Linked DNA regions of Coturnix japonica. The protein of the gene in region 1 binds, or shares a complex with, the protein of each later gene. Links are inferred from orthologs where the notes say so. Each region holds a gene or a part of one and is shown in the gene's direction. Other genes may lie near its edges. The genes, in order: STRIP1 and PDCD10.

What was found.
Region 2: STRIP1 (region 1) and PDCD10 share a complex: the UniProt entries of both Homo sapiens proteins name them as parts of the core of STRIPAK complex. The link is inferred for Coturnix japonica from reciprocal best matches to the Homo sapiens genes STRIP1 and PDCD10.

What each region holds. Positions count from the first base shown.
Region 1 is NC_029541.1:1,698,036-1,701,950, forward strand, and holds the start of STRIP1 (striatin-interacting protein 1), read left to right. Parts: upstream 1-1,465; 5' UTR 1,466-1,492; coding exon 1,493-1,609; intron 1,610-2,005; coding exon 2,006-2,075; intron 2,076-2,298; coding exon 2,299-2,373; intron 2,374-2,485; coding exon 2,486-2,620; intron 2,621-2,851; coding exon 2,852-2,972; intron 2,973-3,664; coding exon 3,665-3,733; intron 3,734-3,915. UniProt on the Homo sapiens protein: Plays a role in the regulation of cell morphology and cytoskeletal organization. Required in the cortical actin filament dynamics and cell shape. Part of the striatin-interacting phosphatase and kinase (STRIPAK) complexes.
Region 2 is NC_029524.1:18,278,566-18,282,380, forward strand, and holds part of PDCD10 (programmed cell death protein 10), read left to right. Parts: intron 1-520; coding exon 521-574; intron 575-1,674; coding exon 1,675-1,792; intron 1,793-2,352; coding exon 2,353-2,479; intron 2,480-2,822; coding exon 2,823-2,901; intron 2,902-3,201; coding exon 3,202-3,284; intron 3,285-3,815. UniProt on the Homo sapiens protein: Promotes cell proliferation. Modulates apoptotic pathways. Increases mitogen-activated protein kinase activity and STK26 activity. Important for cell migration, and for normal structure and assembly of the Golgi complex.

The sequences.
Region 1 (3,915 bases):
TTTCTCCCAATGCCTCTTTCTTCCCTTAGCAAAGGCAGGGAGGGATTCGCTTCTTCCCCCACTGCCTGTTACAGAGCTGACATGGGACCCCCACCCAGAGAGCTGCAACCAGGGATGGGGGCTGCTCCCATGGCTCTGTATGTGGCTGCGGTGCTGCTTGTCCCTCAATGGGGGGGATGATATGAGGATGGATGGGGCAGCTTTGCCCACCTTCCTGTGCCCTCTGCTCTGTCTCTTATGGGGCTGTGTCCCCCCAGCCCTCATAGGCTGTGGGCAGGGGGGGTCTTTCTAACCCCAAGCTGGGGGCTGCAGCTCCATCTAAGCCATGTATTGGGAGGGGGGGGGAGGCAATGTCAGGCTGGGAGGGAGAGAGAGAGAGAAAGAGAGAGAGGTTTATTTTGTATATGACTGATTTTTAACGAATGCAATATGATTAATCCTTGCAGACGAGCAATAAATCATTAAAAGTCTAATGAAAAAAAAAACAAAAAACCAAAAAAAAACGAGTAGGAGCATAAAACGACCAACATGGCAGGTCGGTGGGTGAGTGCTTACAGCCTATGGGGGCACATAGGGGGGTGGGGGTCCTCCAAGCCCCCCCCCCAGCCCCTCCAAGGCCTGTAGTTGGGGTTGGATCCTCATTCACTGTAATGGGGGCTTTGGGCCCATATGGGTTATGTGGGCCCCATAGATCTGACCTGATTAGTTATAACCCATATGGGTTATATGGCCCCCTGTGGGTTATGTGGGCCCATGTGGGTTATATGGGCCCCTGTGTGTTATGTGGGCCCCTGTGGGTTATGTGGACCCATATGGATTATATGGCCCCTATGGGTTATGTGGGCTCATATGAGTTATATGGGCCCCTATGGATTATGTGGGCCCATGTGGGTTATGGGTTATATGGGCCCCTATGGGTTATGTGGGCCCCTATGGATTATATGGCCCCCTATGGGTTATGTGGGCCCATGTGGGTTATATGGCCCCCTGTGGGTTATGTGGGCCCCTATGGGTTATATGGGCCCCTGTGGGTTATATGGGCCCCTCTGGTGGGATCTGCTCCCCCTATTTGGGCTCTGAGCTGGTTCCGGGGTCACATCAGGTCATTCCGGACCCCCCTTTGGTCCCCATCCCCCCCCCACTTCCTGCCACTTCCAACATGGCGGCCCCCAGCCGTCGCGTCACGTGATGGCCGGAAGTGCCTCTCCCAACATGGCGCGCGCCACACCTATCATGGCGGCGATGGGGCGGAGCTTCTCCTCCGGTCGAGGCGCCGCACCGGACGTGGCCACCGGGGGCGGGCGGCGCTGGGCGGTGCCGCGGCCTGAGCGTCTGAACGGCGGGACCGGCGGGAGGTGTCATGGCGGAGGCAGGAGAACGGCCGGAGCTCGGCGCCACTCCCAACATGGCGGCGGCGGCTCTACCCCGGCTCTCCCTGCCGCTCCCGCGAGAAGGAGGGGTGAGTCCTCGCGAGATCTCGCTGTGTGGAGCCATGGAGCCGGGCGGCGTTGTGGCGGGGCCGCTCCCGGCCAACAACAAGGCCCGAAGCGGGGCGGGACCGGCGGGGAAAGGCCGAGAGTTGGGCCGACCCCCGAGGAAGGACTCCGAGGTCAGAACCGGAACCGACAGAACCGGGCCCGGCTCCGCGGGGCGGGAGAAGGCCGGACGGGAGGGGCGGGGCCTAAGCCGGGCCGGTTCCGGGAGGGGCGGGGCCTGGTCCGGCCGGTTCCGGTGCCGTGGGCCCGGCCTGGTTCCGTCCCGATCCCACTGCGGCCCTGTATGGAGTGAACAGCTCCAGGGGGCGGAACCTGCGGCCCAATGCGGCAGCACGGCCGGGGGGTGGATTGGAAACGTTGGTGCTGCTGTGGGGCTGCAGGAATGAGGGGGGTGTTGGGGTTCGTTTGGGTCCGTTTGGGTCCGTTTGGGTCCGTTTGGGTCCGTTTGGGTCCGTTTGGGTCCGTTTGTGTCACTGAGCCCCTCATTGAGCCCCGTTCTTTGCCCCCAGGGCTACTCGGAGTCCCCAGACCTGGAGTTTGAATACGCAGACACCGATAAATGGGCGGCGGAGCTGTCCGGTAAGGGGCCCGTCCTCACAGCTCAATGAATCAGCATTGGGTTCTATGCCCTGATCGTGACCGAAGCGGTTCTGTCCCCTCCAGCGTCGCTTTGTTGCCTTTAAACACCTCATTCACATTAGAAGGGCTGTGTCACTTCATAGCAGCTGTTCCTTTGCCATTAACATTGAGCAGCCATTAACCCGTGGGTCGCAGGGTGACGGTTCTCTGTGCTCTTTGGCAGAGCTGTACAGTTACACCGAAGGCCCCGAGTTCCTGCTCAACCGCAAATGCTTCGAGGAGGATTTCAGGATCCACGGTGAGAGCCCCCCCTTGGAGCTGGGGGCACCAATAGGGCTGGGTGTATCAGGTTGTGAAGTCAAGCAGCCCTTCAGCCCCATCCCATATACATCAATGCTTTGGCTTTGCAGTGCGGGACAAGAAATGGACGGAGCTGGACAAGAAGCAGCATCGCACCCACGCCATGAGGCTGCTGGATGGGCTGGAGGTCACAGCCAGGGAGAAGAGGCTGAAGGTGGCCAGAGCAATCCTGTATGTTGCACAAGGTACGTGCTGGCGTTGAGCTGGAGGCCTTTGCTTTGTATTTCATCTCATACAAGTGGAGCTGAAGCAGTTGTCAGAGGAAGGAGAGTGGTCTAAACTGCCCCTGCAAGAGGGCAGCTCTGTCCTTTGCTTTTCACCTCCTGCTTTAGCATTAAAGATGTGACGTTCTGTCCATCTGCAAAGCACATTGGCTGCACAGAAGGGCTTTGCATCCACTCAGGGTGTCGTTACAGGCACGTTTGGGGAGTGCAGCTCCGAGGCTGATGTCCAGGCCTGGATGAGGTACAACATCTTCCTGCTGCTGGAAGTGGGGACCTTCAACGCGCTGGTGGAGCTGCTGAACATGGAGATCGAGTGAGTGGTGGGAGCAGCTGCTCCAGGAGCCGCTATGGGGCTCTGCTATGGGCTGAGATGCTCCAGGAGCCGCTATGGGGCTCTGCTATGGGCTGAGATGTTTCCCAAAAGGTGGCAAAAAAAAAAAAAAAAGCCGCTTGGGGCTTCTGCTATGGGCTGAAGATCTCCAGGAGCTGCTATGGGGCTCTGCTATGGGCTGAGATGCCTCCAGGAGCTGCTGTGGGGCTCTGCTATGGGCTGAGATGCTCCAGGAGCCGCTATGGGGCTCTGCTATGGGCTGAGATGCTTCAGGAGCCGCTATGGGGCTCTGCTATGGGCTGAGATGCTCCAGGAGCCGCTATGGGGCTCTGCTATGGGCTGAGATGCTCCAGGAGCTGCTATGGGGCTCTGCTATGTGCTGAGATTCCTCCAGCTGGTGGCAGCTGTGTTGTTCCCTGCCCTGTTTCTGTTCTATTCCTGTTCTGATTCCTACTCGAATGGCTGGCATTGCTGCGTGTGGATGTGTAGACACACAGGATGCACGCAGCAGATCTCTAACAGCCGTGCTGTCTGGCAACAGCTGCGTTCCCCCTCTGCTTGATGGGGGACTTGTTGCATTAGTGCTCACTCCAGGCTTTGATTCTGACACTTGGATTGCTTATAGTAGAGTTAAATGCCTCAGGAGCAGCACTGAAGCTGTTCTCTCCCTGCAGTAACAGTGCAGCGTGCAGCAGTGCAGTGAGGAAACCTGCCATCTCCCTGGCTGACAGCACAGACCTGAGGTATGGAGCTCTGCACGAGGAGCTGCTGTGTTGGCTTTATACCCCAGTATAAGAGCCCCAGCTCCCTGTTATGGAGAGTGAATGGGTGGAGGTGGGCTGTGGTTATGGCAGACCAAACCTTCCCTAAGAGCATTGCAATGTAGCTCATCCCAGCCTCTGGTTTTCAGCCCAATCTTGTGTTC
Region 2 (3,815 bases), on another chromosome or scaffold:
TAAATAATACTTCTCTTGACCATGCAGTTCCTTTTCAGATGATCTCTTCAGTGTTCTTTTTCCCCTTCATGCCTGTAAATGCACACAGCAATTTTTGGGAGTCTGCTTTTGGAGCTGTTTCAGCTCTAATGTTCCCAGATCTGACACAGCATTAGGAACCTGTACATTATGTGACTAGAAGTGATGCATGGTGTAACACATACCTGTGAACAGCCTCATACATTTCCATTTCTACTGCTAATGGCTGTAATTGAATAGAATATTTGTCTCTCTGCGAGTATCAGAGGTCAAGATGTTCTCAAAAGTCTTCTGTCAGATTTCTGCTGCAAGCTGAATAAAAGCAAGGCATAGCGAGTGCTGTTTGTTTGGATCAAACTTCATCTTGTCTGTCCCTCAGATGAGATCAGTCTTTGTTCTTCTGTCAATACCCTTTTTCACTGGGCCACATAAGGCAGTGCATGAGTGCTTGAGTTGTTCTGTTAACAGTGAAATTACTAATAATTCTAAACTTCTTTTGCAGCTAGAAAGAGTAAATCTATCTGCAGCTCAGACACTGAGAGCAGCTTTTATTAAGGTGAGACATAATTTGTATTGAAGGATGGTCAGTTAAACAATATATGTTGAAACTTAAATTCTTTATATTATTGTATTTGAAGAATGCATCCTTTATGATCAATAGTTTTCAATAAAACTGAGTGTACAATTGCATGGGCTGTAAGTTTGGAAGGTGTGCACATATTAGAAATCTGAATATACTTAAAAGTATATTAAACAATTTTAAACAATCCTACCTTGTGTACATGGTATGAAAGCGTAAAGGTGGCATAAATCAGTGAGGATGGAACAGGAAATAGAGGTAACAAATCCAGTGTTAATGGGACCAGATTATGTAGAATAGGTGTTCAGAAGTACTAGGAATGTATCAGGCTTGGAAAGATTAATAGTTAGGGAAATTTTTTTTGTGGATGAAATATAAGTTTGGTATTTGGTGTTTGTATTTACTTAAATCTAGCAGGAAACTGAAGAAATATTTCTTGTAACTTACTATGTACCATTCAGTAGCTATCTTTTAGACTTCTTTTAGCAGAAACAATAATAAGTATACATGCAAGGTACATCGAGCGTAGCAACCAAGCAGTGCTTTCCTGTTTCTCCTCTTAAAGTGTACCTGAGCAGACACAACTCTCAATTAGAACTCTTCCAAGTTAAATGTTCTATACAGATAGTCCTAAGGAGCTAAGCTGAATACAAATAGCATGGAAACTAACCCTATTGGAAATGGTAGTCCTAGCTCAGAACACACACACCCTCATTCTTGTTCAGCACAGCCTATTTTTGTGATAGCAACACAGGTACTGTGAATACTGCTAATGTTACATTGCAGGAGTACAACAGCATAGAGATGGTTCTGTCAATTTGAGTAAGAAATATTTTGTAATGAGGGGAAGGGCATATTGATAAAGTCATTCATATAAAACTGCTGATATAACCCAAGAAAAATATACTGGAAGAACAGCTGTCAGTGTAAAGTGCTTTTTTAAAGGCATTAGAATGGAAATTCTTCTAGCAAACACTGGTGTACAAAACAACTTGCATTAAAATCTGCTTTTGTGCTTGCAATATTATGATTGCATTTCTAGAGCATTTTTTAGAGTAATTTATCCTACAATGCAGGCTGAAAAAGAAAATCCAGGCCTCACACAGGACATTATTATGAAAATTCTGGAGAAAAAAAGTGTGGATGTGAATTTTACAGAGTCCCTCCTACGTATGGCAGCAGATGATGTAGAAGGTAATATCTTGCCTCATGTTGTGTAAGGGCGTTCTTCATCGTACTCTAAACAAGAGCATGCATTGCTCTGCCTATTTTTCAGAAGAGGTTTACTTTTACTAAGTAGATTCTTTTTCAACCATATTCAATAGAAGCAATAGCTCTTTCTCTGAGTACCTATTTTGGAGAGAATAAAGAAAAAGCCTACCACTGCAACTCCCCAGACATGTTCTTGACTAAGAGGAAGAAAATGCATCCTTTGAATGGTTTGTGTGGGAAGTTCACCTGTTGCAGTTTGTTTCAAATTGAAAGCATCAGTTACGATGACAGGAGAGCTTAAAGTTCTTTTAAAACTGTATTTCGTTATTGTAATGTTGTCAGTGTTCTTTGGAAATAAAATTGGGCTCTATTCTTTCCTCACTTTTCAGTAAGGAAAGTTATTGTTGGTCTGCTTCTGTTAGTATCTTGAGATCCATCATGGTTGCTAGTGCATTTTGTGAAGTAATGTTTTATTTAAGCTGTCACTGGAAACTTTTTGATGGAAAACTAATGGTATTTTTTTCACATATCCAACTTATTAGAATATATGATTGAAAGACCAGAGCCAGAATTCCAAGATCTGAATGAAAAGGCGCGAGCACTTAAACAGATTCTTAGTAAGATTCCAGATGAGATCAATGACAGAGTGAGGTTTCTTCAAACAATCAAGTAAGTACAGTATTTAATATTTTTATGGAGTTTTAGGGGCCTAACTTTATGTTTGGAGCTGAATGTTCAAATGCTGTGGGAGGCACTAGTAAAATTGTTCTCATTTGGAGAGTTTCTCATACACATAGAAATAAGAACAGAGCTGAACATTTAAGAGATCCTTGTGTTAGTAGATAGTAATTTGAATCAGTAATTAGCAGCTGAAGTTCCATGTCACTTTCCTAGCATTTGATTTCTGTGTCTTCTTTGAAATTCTTTCTGTGCTACTATTAAAAAAGGATTAAATTTCTATGTTTGAGTTGAATAGCTTATGCATATTACAATTCTTTTCATTTTCAAACAGGGACATCGCCAGTGCAATAAAGGAACTTCTTGACACAGTAAATAATGTCTTCAAGAAATACCAATACCAGAACCGGAGGGTATGTGAAATAACCTAATACAGTATTTCTCTAGTAGAAGAGGAAGCATATTGTTTTCTTTGTAGGATGAACAGAAGAGCATAACTGGTCAATGTCAGTGTTTTAACATGGCTGTTTGGTAATTCTCAGCAGTTCCGTAGGAAGATTGGTTTTAAAAAAACATACAGGGAAAGAACAACCCATTACCACAGTAAACCCATTCTTTTATCTACATAATCCTTGTGTGCTTTCTTTTATTTTTAATTGTGATGTACACAATAGCATCTCAACTTAGACTTCTTGGCTTTTTCTTTTCCGCAGGCACTTGAGCACCAAAAGAAAGAGTTTGTAAAATACTCCAAAAGTTTCAGCGATACTCTGAAAACCTATTTTAAAGATGGCAAGTAAGTGTCTTTTTATACTAAGCTTATACACAGTGAAAAGGTTTTGTTTACCTAATTGGTGTGACTAGAGGAAAATAAAGACAAAGCCATTTGACTGAAAAAGTGGGGCCAAGAATTGTATGTGTTGTGTGCTTACCCCATACATGCTGAAAAACAGACCAGCTTTGTTCAGCCCTATGTGAAGTGAATGCTGTGTGTTGTGGATATATGCTTTACAGTGCCTCAGGTATTATCAGTATTTCAGAAAATCCCAGGTAACATCTATGTTCCTTGTGGAACAGAAAATAATTTACATCTGTTTGAACAACACACTAGATAAGATAACCTGTTGACATGAGGAAGAAAGAGCACTAAATAACATGGTCACTCATAATGGTATCATTGAGTTGGAAAGCTCAGTGACCCCATGCTTCTTTGTTACCAGAGGTAACTGAAGGAAGTTGCTTCCATGTGCCTGCATGCTCAGTGTTTTAGTAAGAATTTGCTAATTCTGAAATTACCAGGTGTTGGAATGTTCAGCTAGGGAAAGAA